Ovis aries: one gene and its partner. The protein of the gene in region 2 interacts with the protein of the main gene of each other region in a biochemical or structural test. Links are inferred from orthologs where the notes say so. Each region holds a gene or a part of one and is shown on either strand. Other genes may lie near its edges.

What was found. The genes of interacting proteins can lie anywhere in the genome.
Region 1: the proteins of RBX1 (region 2) and UBE2R2 form a complex in vitro, tested with the Homo sapiens proteins (10 studies listed by BioGRID). The link is inferred for Ovis aries from reciprocal best matches to the Homo sapiens genes RBX1 and UBE2R2.

Annotation. Positions count from the first base shown.
Region 1 is NC_056055.1:37,686,232-37,690,628, reverse strand, and holds the start of UBE2R2 (ubiquitin-conjugating enzyme E2 R2), read left to right. Parts: upstream 1-1,556; 5' UTR 1,557-2,150; coding exon 2,151-2,327; intron 2,328-4,397. UniProt on the Homo sapiens protein: E2 ubiquitin-conjugating enzyme that accepts ubiquitin from an E1 ubiquitin-activating protein, and catalyzes its covalent attachment to other proteins by an E3 ubiquitin-protein ligase complex.
Region 2 is NC_056056.1:217,993,010-217,996,841, forward strand, and holds the end of RBX1 (E3 ubiquitin-protein ligase RBX1), read left to right. Parts: intron 1-133; coding exon 134-219; intron 220-859; coding exon 860-923; 3' UTR 924-933; intron 934-2,203; coding exon of another isoform or gene 2,204-2,266; 3' UTR 2,267-3,255; downstream 3,256-3,832. UniProt on the Homo sapiens protein: E3 ubiquitin ligase component of multiple cullin-RING-based E3 ubiquitin-protein ligase (CRLs) complexes which mediate the ubiquitination and subsequent proteasomal degradation of target proteins, including proteins involved in cell cycle progression, signal transduction, transcription and transcription-coupled nucleotide excision repair.

The DNA.
Region 1 (4,397 bases), on a different chromosome or scaffold from region 2:
TTGTAATAAATGTACTACACTAATGTGAGATGTTAATAAGGGGAAATTGGATGCCAAGTATATGGAAATTATCTGTACTATTTTCTCTGCTTTTTTTTTTTTTAAGTCTATTAAAAAATGGAGGGGGTGGTAACCAGAATATAACTATGCCTTAAAATTTTTTTAATTTTTTAAATTTTAATTTTATTTTTTTACTTTACAATACTGTATTGGTTTCGCCATACATTGACATGAATCCACCACAGGTGTACATGAGTTCCCAACCCTGAATCCCCCTCCCATTTTTTCTTAAAGTTCCTATTTATGGAGTGTTTACCATATGCTGGTCATTGTGCTAAACTCTGTACATGGATGATTTAATTTTTATAATTGTTTATATGTTAGGCATAATTAACCTCTTTTACAGAAGCTGATGAAAAGGAAGTGGTAATATAATATAAATGGTGGAGCCAGGATTGGAACCAGGGATGTTTCTGATCCCAGAATTCTAAATGTGTGGAACTCACAGTATCCTGCCTTTTCTAGAAAATGTTCAGTTTTCATAGGACAGGCCTTCCAAAGAGAAACAGGGCCTAAATTATGGGATTGTAGACAATTTCCACATCTCACTTCACTCATGATTATTTTCAAAGAACCCCAGGTCTAAGATCTGCAGGGGGTCAAAGTTCAACCAAGTACCTCATTTTACAAATGGGTAAATGGAGGATAGCCACAGCATTTGTCCCAAATCACACAGCAAGGGCCAAGAACCCAGGTTCAGTCTGTATGATTATTTCTCTTTTTATTTCCCACAGCTTCCTCTTTGTAGTTAAGGGAAGTAGAAACTGACCTATCTGCTTTCCCCATTTCTCGGATGGGAAACTGCACTTCAACCCCCTAAGTTGGCAACACGCTGCTCTCCAAAGACACAATGGCATGAGGACTGGATCCGTAGAAATGTCAGGACGCTTGTTCCCAACGACAAAACCCGCACTGTCAGCACATCCTTGTCAAGCACCTACTGAGTGCTGGGACGACAGACCGTGTGTTACGGCGGGGTGGGGAGGGGACGTTAGGCCTGTAGAGGATCAGGGCTCTTAGGAAGACAACTGCGGGAGGCCTGAGGGTACAAGTAGGGGGAGGAGGGCGATGACAGCTCTAGGACAGAGGTCCCTTCCGGGGCGCGCCTTTGGAAACGTAACGTCAAGCCGCACAACCATCATTTTGGGGACAAGGGCACCCCCAGGGGCCACCCTCAAACCCCGGCCTCACCGTCACCCCCCACTGCCGCTTGGCCCTTTAAGGGCGGGGGACGCGCGCCGGCGTCACAAAGCGCCGCCACCTGGCGGGGTGGTGGAGAGGAGGCGGGGAAGTGGGAGGAGTAGGAGGGGGAGGAGGGAGAGGAGGGCGGCAGGGGCAGAGGAGGTGGGGAGGGAGAGGAGGGAGGGAGGGGCGCGCGCACGCGCGTCGCGTCGCTCGCCGCCTAGAGCCGCTCTCGGCCAAGAGCCGCCCTCCCTCCCGACGCGCGCCCCTCCTCCCTCCCGACGCGCGCCCCTCCTCCCTCCCTTCTTCTTCTCAGCTTCGTCGCTCCCGCGGCGCGAGGCGCTCTCGCTCTTCTCCTCCTCCTCCTCCGCCGTCGCCCCTCCCCCCGCGCAGCCGCCGCCGCCGCCGCCGCCGCAGCCGCGAGACCCCCGCGTGTCGCGCTTCCCCCGCCCTTCGGCCCCTCGCGCCCTTCGGCCCCGGCGGCCCCCGAGGAGAACAAGAGAGCGAGCGAGCGCGGCGCTCCCGGGCCATCCCGGCCCGGTCTCCTCACCGTCGCCGGCCTTTCGCCGCCTTCCTCCGCTTCCACCTCTTCTCCCCCCCCCACCGCCAACCAAGTTGAGGCCCCCTCCGGGGGGGGGAGGCCCGAGACCCGGAGCGAATTTCAACTCTCTCCACCCCTCCCCCCACCCCGGCCCGAGTGTGAGGAGAAGGGCCCGGCCCGGCCCGCGTCGTGTGTGAGGAGGAACCGGGCCGGCCCACGGGCCGTGTGGGGCCTGGTCCGGGCCGCCGGGTGTGTGAAGACAGGGGCCCGGAGCGGCCCGGCAGAGGGAGAGCGGAGGGGAGGGGCCTGGTCCGGCCCGGCTGGTGCGTGAGGACTGGGGCCCCGGCCCGGCGCCGCCGCCGCCGCGATGGCCCAGCAGCAGATGACCAGTTCGCAGAAGGCCCTGATGCTCGAGCTGAAATCCCTGCAGGAGGAACCGGTGGAGGGCTTCCGGATCACCCTGGTGGATGAATCCGACCTCTACAACTGGGAGGTTGCCATCTTCGGACCCCCTAACACGCTCTACGAAGGCGGCTACTTCAAGGTACCCGCAACCCCGCTCAGGCTTCCCCGGGCGGAGGCCGCAGTTTTCGGCTGTTTTCCCGGCCGAGAGTGGGAGCGCGGGGGAGCGGAGGGGGCTCCTCACCTCTGCAGCCCCCTCCCCCCATCCGTGGAGGCAGGAAGGCCTCGCTTGCTCACCCGGTGCCTTTTCTTTGTCATGGGGGCGGGGGCGGGAGGCCAGCCTGCACCGGGAAATAGGAAAGCCTCTGTGGCTAGGGTAGTGGCTACCGGAGGAGGAGGGGGGAGGTCTTTGTTTTGTTTCCCCCGCCGAGGGTGTACGGAAAGAAAGGGATCCCCCACGGCCTCCCATCAGAACCATCTCTGCGCCGGCTGGAACTACCCCAGAGGGCAGAGTGACCTGCACTTACGGGATTGGACCTTTTTTTGGGGGTGGGGGGGTGGGGTAGGAGGGTGGGGGAGGGGTATCGGCCTGTCATTCCAGAGGCTGCCTACTGACCTGACATTTTGGGGATTTGAGGGCTTCTTGCATATAGTGGTGGTTCCAACTTCGCATTCCAGTGGGTGGTAATGGAGAATAGGACCCTAGGGGTGGTAAACAAGGGCGCCTGCGTTTTCTTGCCATCAGCCACTTGAGGGAACTCGAATTTAGCCCTCTTTCTGTCCTCATTTTCTATTTACTTCAATGCTGTTTCAAAATGCCCTTTGTCCTCACCCTGCCACCAACTTTACTGCACTCACCCCCGCCTTCCCCGGCCTCCCGTGTAGAAATATCCACTGAGGGCGGAACATGTTGTATAGGGAGATTGATGATTTCCCACTTCAGGGAGACAAAATTGAAACCTTTTGCTTAGATGGCTAACTCTAGCAAACGGGGAGAGGGGGGTGGTCTCACAGGTGAAGAGTGACATCTGCGGTGGGATGGTTTCACAAAGTAGGACCGATCCTTAGCGACCGTAGTTATACTTTCTATTGTTTTCCAAGATGTTAGAACAGTGGTTTTTATCATTCCTGAATCCAGTAGTTTTTTCAGTTTCCAAATAGATAGTTGGAAATATTGAGGGTCTTTTGTTTTTGTTTTTATTTAACCATTTTTTAAGGGGAAAATCACAGATTGAAGGTCGAAGTTTTAAATGATGGGGGACAGAGAGGAAATGAGTACTTAAGAATTCTTTTAAGTTAATTTTTTTTATTTCCAAAATTAAGTAAAATAGGTCTGTGAGTCAGTCTTAGTTTGTTTTGAAGGGAGGGGCTATCTTGGCATAAGTTTTAAATGAGTATCTTAGTCATGTAGTTACGTGTGTTTTTAAGGACTGCCCAGTTAGTTTAGTTTCTACTCTTCTAAAGGTAGAAGCCTCAGTTTCAGGCTTGAGATTGGGTCTGTTTTGTATAAATGTGAAGAATTGATTGTGGAATGTTTACTATTCATGTCTGTGATAGTCACTTAATAGCTGATTAGAAGCATGCGTTTAGTATTTAGAATATTGTATATACCAACCATACACTGTACTCTTCAGAGGAAAATACTTGCAAAATCTACTGGCTAATTTTAGTGAAATGAAGTTTAATTTCTAAAAAGTATCATTATTTGGGACAATCACTTGTCAGGATAAATGGTTACTAGTTAGAATTATCTTACTCCTAGGCAATGCATTAAAAACAAACAACAACAAACAAAGGAAATAATGGGTTTAAAATGGTAATAGTTTTGCTTAGGTAATTGAGAATGGAGTGTGGTGAACCCTCTCAGTTTGGCATAGGTAATATGGAAGGAGGATTCCTTGAAGCATGCACTGATTTAAATTAACTGCTTTTTAAATTCAATCTTATTTAAAAAGAATCTCGTTTTGTTGTATGTTTAGATGTATATTTTTTTACTTTTGTGACATGTAAAAAATGTATGAAAATTCTTAAACAGATTTGGTGTTTTAGTGGTATGTGAGAATTTTGTTCAATTTTGTTCTCGTCTTCCTTTTTTTTTTCTTTTTTAAATGGCTTTTTATTCCAAAGTCTTTCATTGGAAAAGGCAAATTTATGGTCATGAGCAGTTAACACTGGTGACAGGTTTAAAACCATTGTTTTTTATTTCACTGCT
Region 2 (3,832 bases):
CCATTGTGTGCTGCCTTCCATGGTTCTTCTCCAGCCGCTGTGTATCACCACCCTGCTCCCCTTGAGATATATTGTCCGTAGACGGCTGAGCCTGCACAGAATTATTTTTAATAAAATGTATCTTTTCTTCCAGCATGCTTTCCACTTCCACTGCATCTCTCGCTGGCTCAAAACACGGCAGGTGTGTCCGTTGGACAACAGAGAGTGGGAATTCCAAAAGTAGGTGTCCCCGGCTGTTTCGACATCGTATGTAAGGTTGGGCTTTGTGGTCAGTACTGTTCTTGGACCCACGTCAAGCTGGAGGGTGCACAGTTTTAGAAGATGAAGACATAGAACATGGCTGGTTCATAAAGTAGCTTTCGGTTAGTTAGATGAGGACGCGTCTCTGTGGAAAGTGTATAAGGTGAACCAGCATTAGAAACTTGCAGCCTGGAGTTTCCCAGCCATCTAGGTAGGGTCTTTGGAAGTAGTAGTAGAAGCTTGCAAATTCTCATTTTGCAAGCTATTAAATATTTCCACAATCACATCAAGAATAAGGCTCCAGGGGCTAACTAATGTCATCTGTCTTTGCTTTGGGCTAGAATTATATCATGTTTCATTGGTTTATCTCACAGGGATTAATTCTGATACAGCATCTGTGGCTATCTCAACTAAATCATTATTGTTGCTGCTGTTAATTGTAGTAGCGTGTAAGTAATACACGGCGTGCAAATTTTCAAAACTTCAAATGATCAGTCTGTACTAGTAATTCCTAAAAGAGGAATTTCTGGTTTAAGAGTATGTATGTTTTTATTTTTGATAGTGTCAGATTTTTTTCCTTTCCCAAGAGTATGTACTAATTCACAGCCCCTACCAACAGTGAAGCAGAAGACTTCCTCCTCCATTTCTTGCCAGTGCTTTGTTATCAGACGTTTTCATCTTAGCTACTGACAGGTGAAAATTAGTTTTCAATTGTATTTTTTAAAACTTTGAGTAAAGTTGGGCTGCTTTTCATATGTTTTTATGCCTGTTGTATTTGTCTGTGAAATGCTTTTTTATCTGTTGAATTTTCAGTTAATTTATCAAATTTTTAATGGAAAGGGGGATTTTCGAAGTTCTCAAGAGACCTTTGTAATTGACTGTGCCGTGGAGCAGGCTCAGGGTGCCATCTTGGATCAAAACTGTCTCACGTAGCCCATACACGTGCCCAGGGCTGAGCCTAAGAAGTGGGGGGGTGACGAATCCTCCTGCTAGGCTTTGACACTGTCGCTTTATCCAGCTGGTGACTTTGCCTGGCTGTGGTTATGAGCGCCCTGGGAAAACAAATTCATAAGAAGCAAATTTCATTTCAGCATGCTTTAAACTGATGGATAACTTCTAGGTTATTCTCACTAACAAGCTGGAGCTCTACCCTGTGAGGACTTTTTTAGGGAATTTTTAAGCGAATTTCTTATAAGGAGTACTTAAAGAATCTAGCAGCCCTTCAGGATGATGGCAACAGTGATGCAGAATTCTGGTGCCCTGGTCTCCATCTGTGTAGCAAAGTATTTTCATTAGAGGCGAACTACCCACTAAGAACCATGGCCAAAGATTAAGATAATAATGGATTCTGTGTTCAAGAAATCTTACATGTGGAAAAAATGTCCTACCATTGGTTATAATCTTTCTGGAGCCAAGTTTTGGCCTCTGAGGAAATCAGAAAGGACCTGAGATCCATAGCTAGTTTCTCGACAGTTCTTTCGGTGGTGCTCAGCAGACTCAGGGCTGTAATTGGAACTGGTGATAGATTTTGACACTGAAGGCTGTTCGGTTACTATCCTCTGTAGGGGTCTTACCCTAAACTAGCCCAAGTATGGGAGTTGAGGGGAAGAGGCGGCCCACAGGGAAGAGGGCGGAGGATTCAAGCTGTCTTAGCTGCATACTGGCCATCAAGTGCAGCTCCCTTTCACAGCCATTAGCCGTGACTCCTCCCTGTCACTGCCCAGTATCTGCCTGGCACCAGGAAAGAGTCAGGTGGGTGCAGTTGAGTGGGGGACCATCACTATGAAGAGGGTGGTAGGGACAATGTTACAGGAGGCCGGTAGGCTGAAAGGGGCAGAGACAAGGGTTGAAACCCAATCTTCAAAGTTTTAACCAGATTGGTGGATATATTTTTAGCAGGTGTTACAGTCTCAAACAGGGAATCACGATAAGGAATGAATTAATAATTTACTTTGTCTTCCAGGTATGGGCACTAGAAAAAGAATTCTTCCATCAAGCTCAACTGTTTTTGTTATCCACTGAATGACTTGCCCTCCTGTTACTTATTATAAATTAGATAGAACTGTGTCTCTTCTGCTTTGTCTTTTCAGTTTGCTATTCTGGCAGCCATACTGTATTCTGTGTCAAATAAAATCCAGTTGGATTCTAGAACAGACGCTGTCTTTTGTGTATGTGCAAAAAGTGAACACAAGTAAAGGGCCTCCCGCCCCTTTCTAGGGTGGAAGGCTAGGTTTTGAAAGTGAGGTGTTTGTTCATCAGAGCCAAAGCAGGATCGTCCTGTGAGCACGTCGCTTGGTCTCAAGGAAGCCTGGTCCACAGCCTGGCTGCTGCTGATGATCTTGGGCGAGTGGTCTGTCTGCTCCGAGCTCTTCCTCCTCCGTGAAGTGGCTGCTAAGGACTAAACAGGATCATGTGGGCACAGAAAGAGGCCTTATAAACTGTGAGAACGCTGTACAGGTGTTAACTTTGTGTATGACATGTTGCTTTCTCATTTTAGTTTAGAAAAGTTAACTTGAAAAAAAATTAATATGTCATCTTGGCTGGCGATGGAGTAATCTGTGAACTCAAATTGGAAAACAGTGTCATTTAGAGTTAACGGGAGAATTCAGGTTTCCCTTCCTCACCACCACCCTTTGTAATTTGTTTAAGATGCCTTGGCTGTGGACAGAACTGCCAGTTCTAACACTACTTCAGTCTCTTAGTCTTTAACTGAGAGGCGGGTTAATTTACTGCAGTGATTCTCAAAGTGTGTGCTGAGGACTTGCGGGAGTAATGGAAACACTTTCAGGAGGTTCACGAAGTTCCTTTTCCGGCTGCGTGTCTGTACAAGGCCAATTTTTCTTTTTTTCCTTCAGACAAAGCAACGTATTGAATGAAAAAAGAGAGCAGCAAATCCAGCTGTCTTCTGCTAAGTCAGATATAAAAGAGATTTGCAAAAATGTAAAACAGTGCCACTCTTCTAACTTTTGTTTTGAAAACTAGTTACTTTGAATAAAAATATTTATGTTAACGTGATGGGTTTTTGTTCTTTTAAAATCTTTTAAATTTCTCAGTTTGATTTCCATTGTGGTAAATATCTGTGGATGCAACCCCCATAAAAACTCTTTGGTTTCTTCAGTGTGTAAGATCATAAGGGGATCCTGAGACTCAAAAGTTTGAGAACCTCTAGCTTAGTAATAAGAACTTTGAGGTCCAACCTGGGTGGAACCCAGCTTCCCCACTTGGCCGCCAGCAGTGCAGTCGCTCAGGGCCAGGTGGCTGCTGCCGTCGATGTTCCTTCCACCCTCGGCAGAAATCACCTCCTTTAAACCCCTTTCAGGTGGTCATTCACACTGCAGGAACACTTAAGCGATGCAGAAGAATGGTTTTCACACAGCTGGCGTCACATATTTGCAGAGTTCTGCCTGGGTGTTCATAAAGACCCTTGGTTGCAGAGCAGCCGACTCCAGCTTCTGCTTAGGTCATGGAACGTTTGTGAGGGCTAGGGGGCTGTGTCCTCTGAAAGGAGTAAGGGACACAGAAGGGGCTGGACCTAAGAATGAATGACTAGAACCAGGGCATCCCTGCTGGGATTCTGTCGCTCTTTCACAAA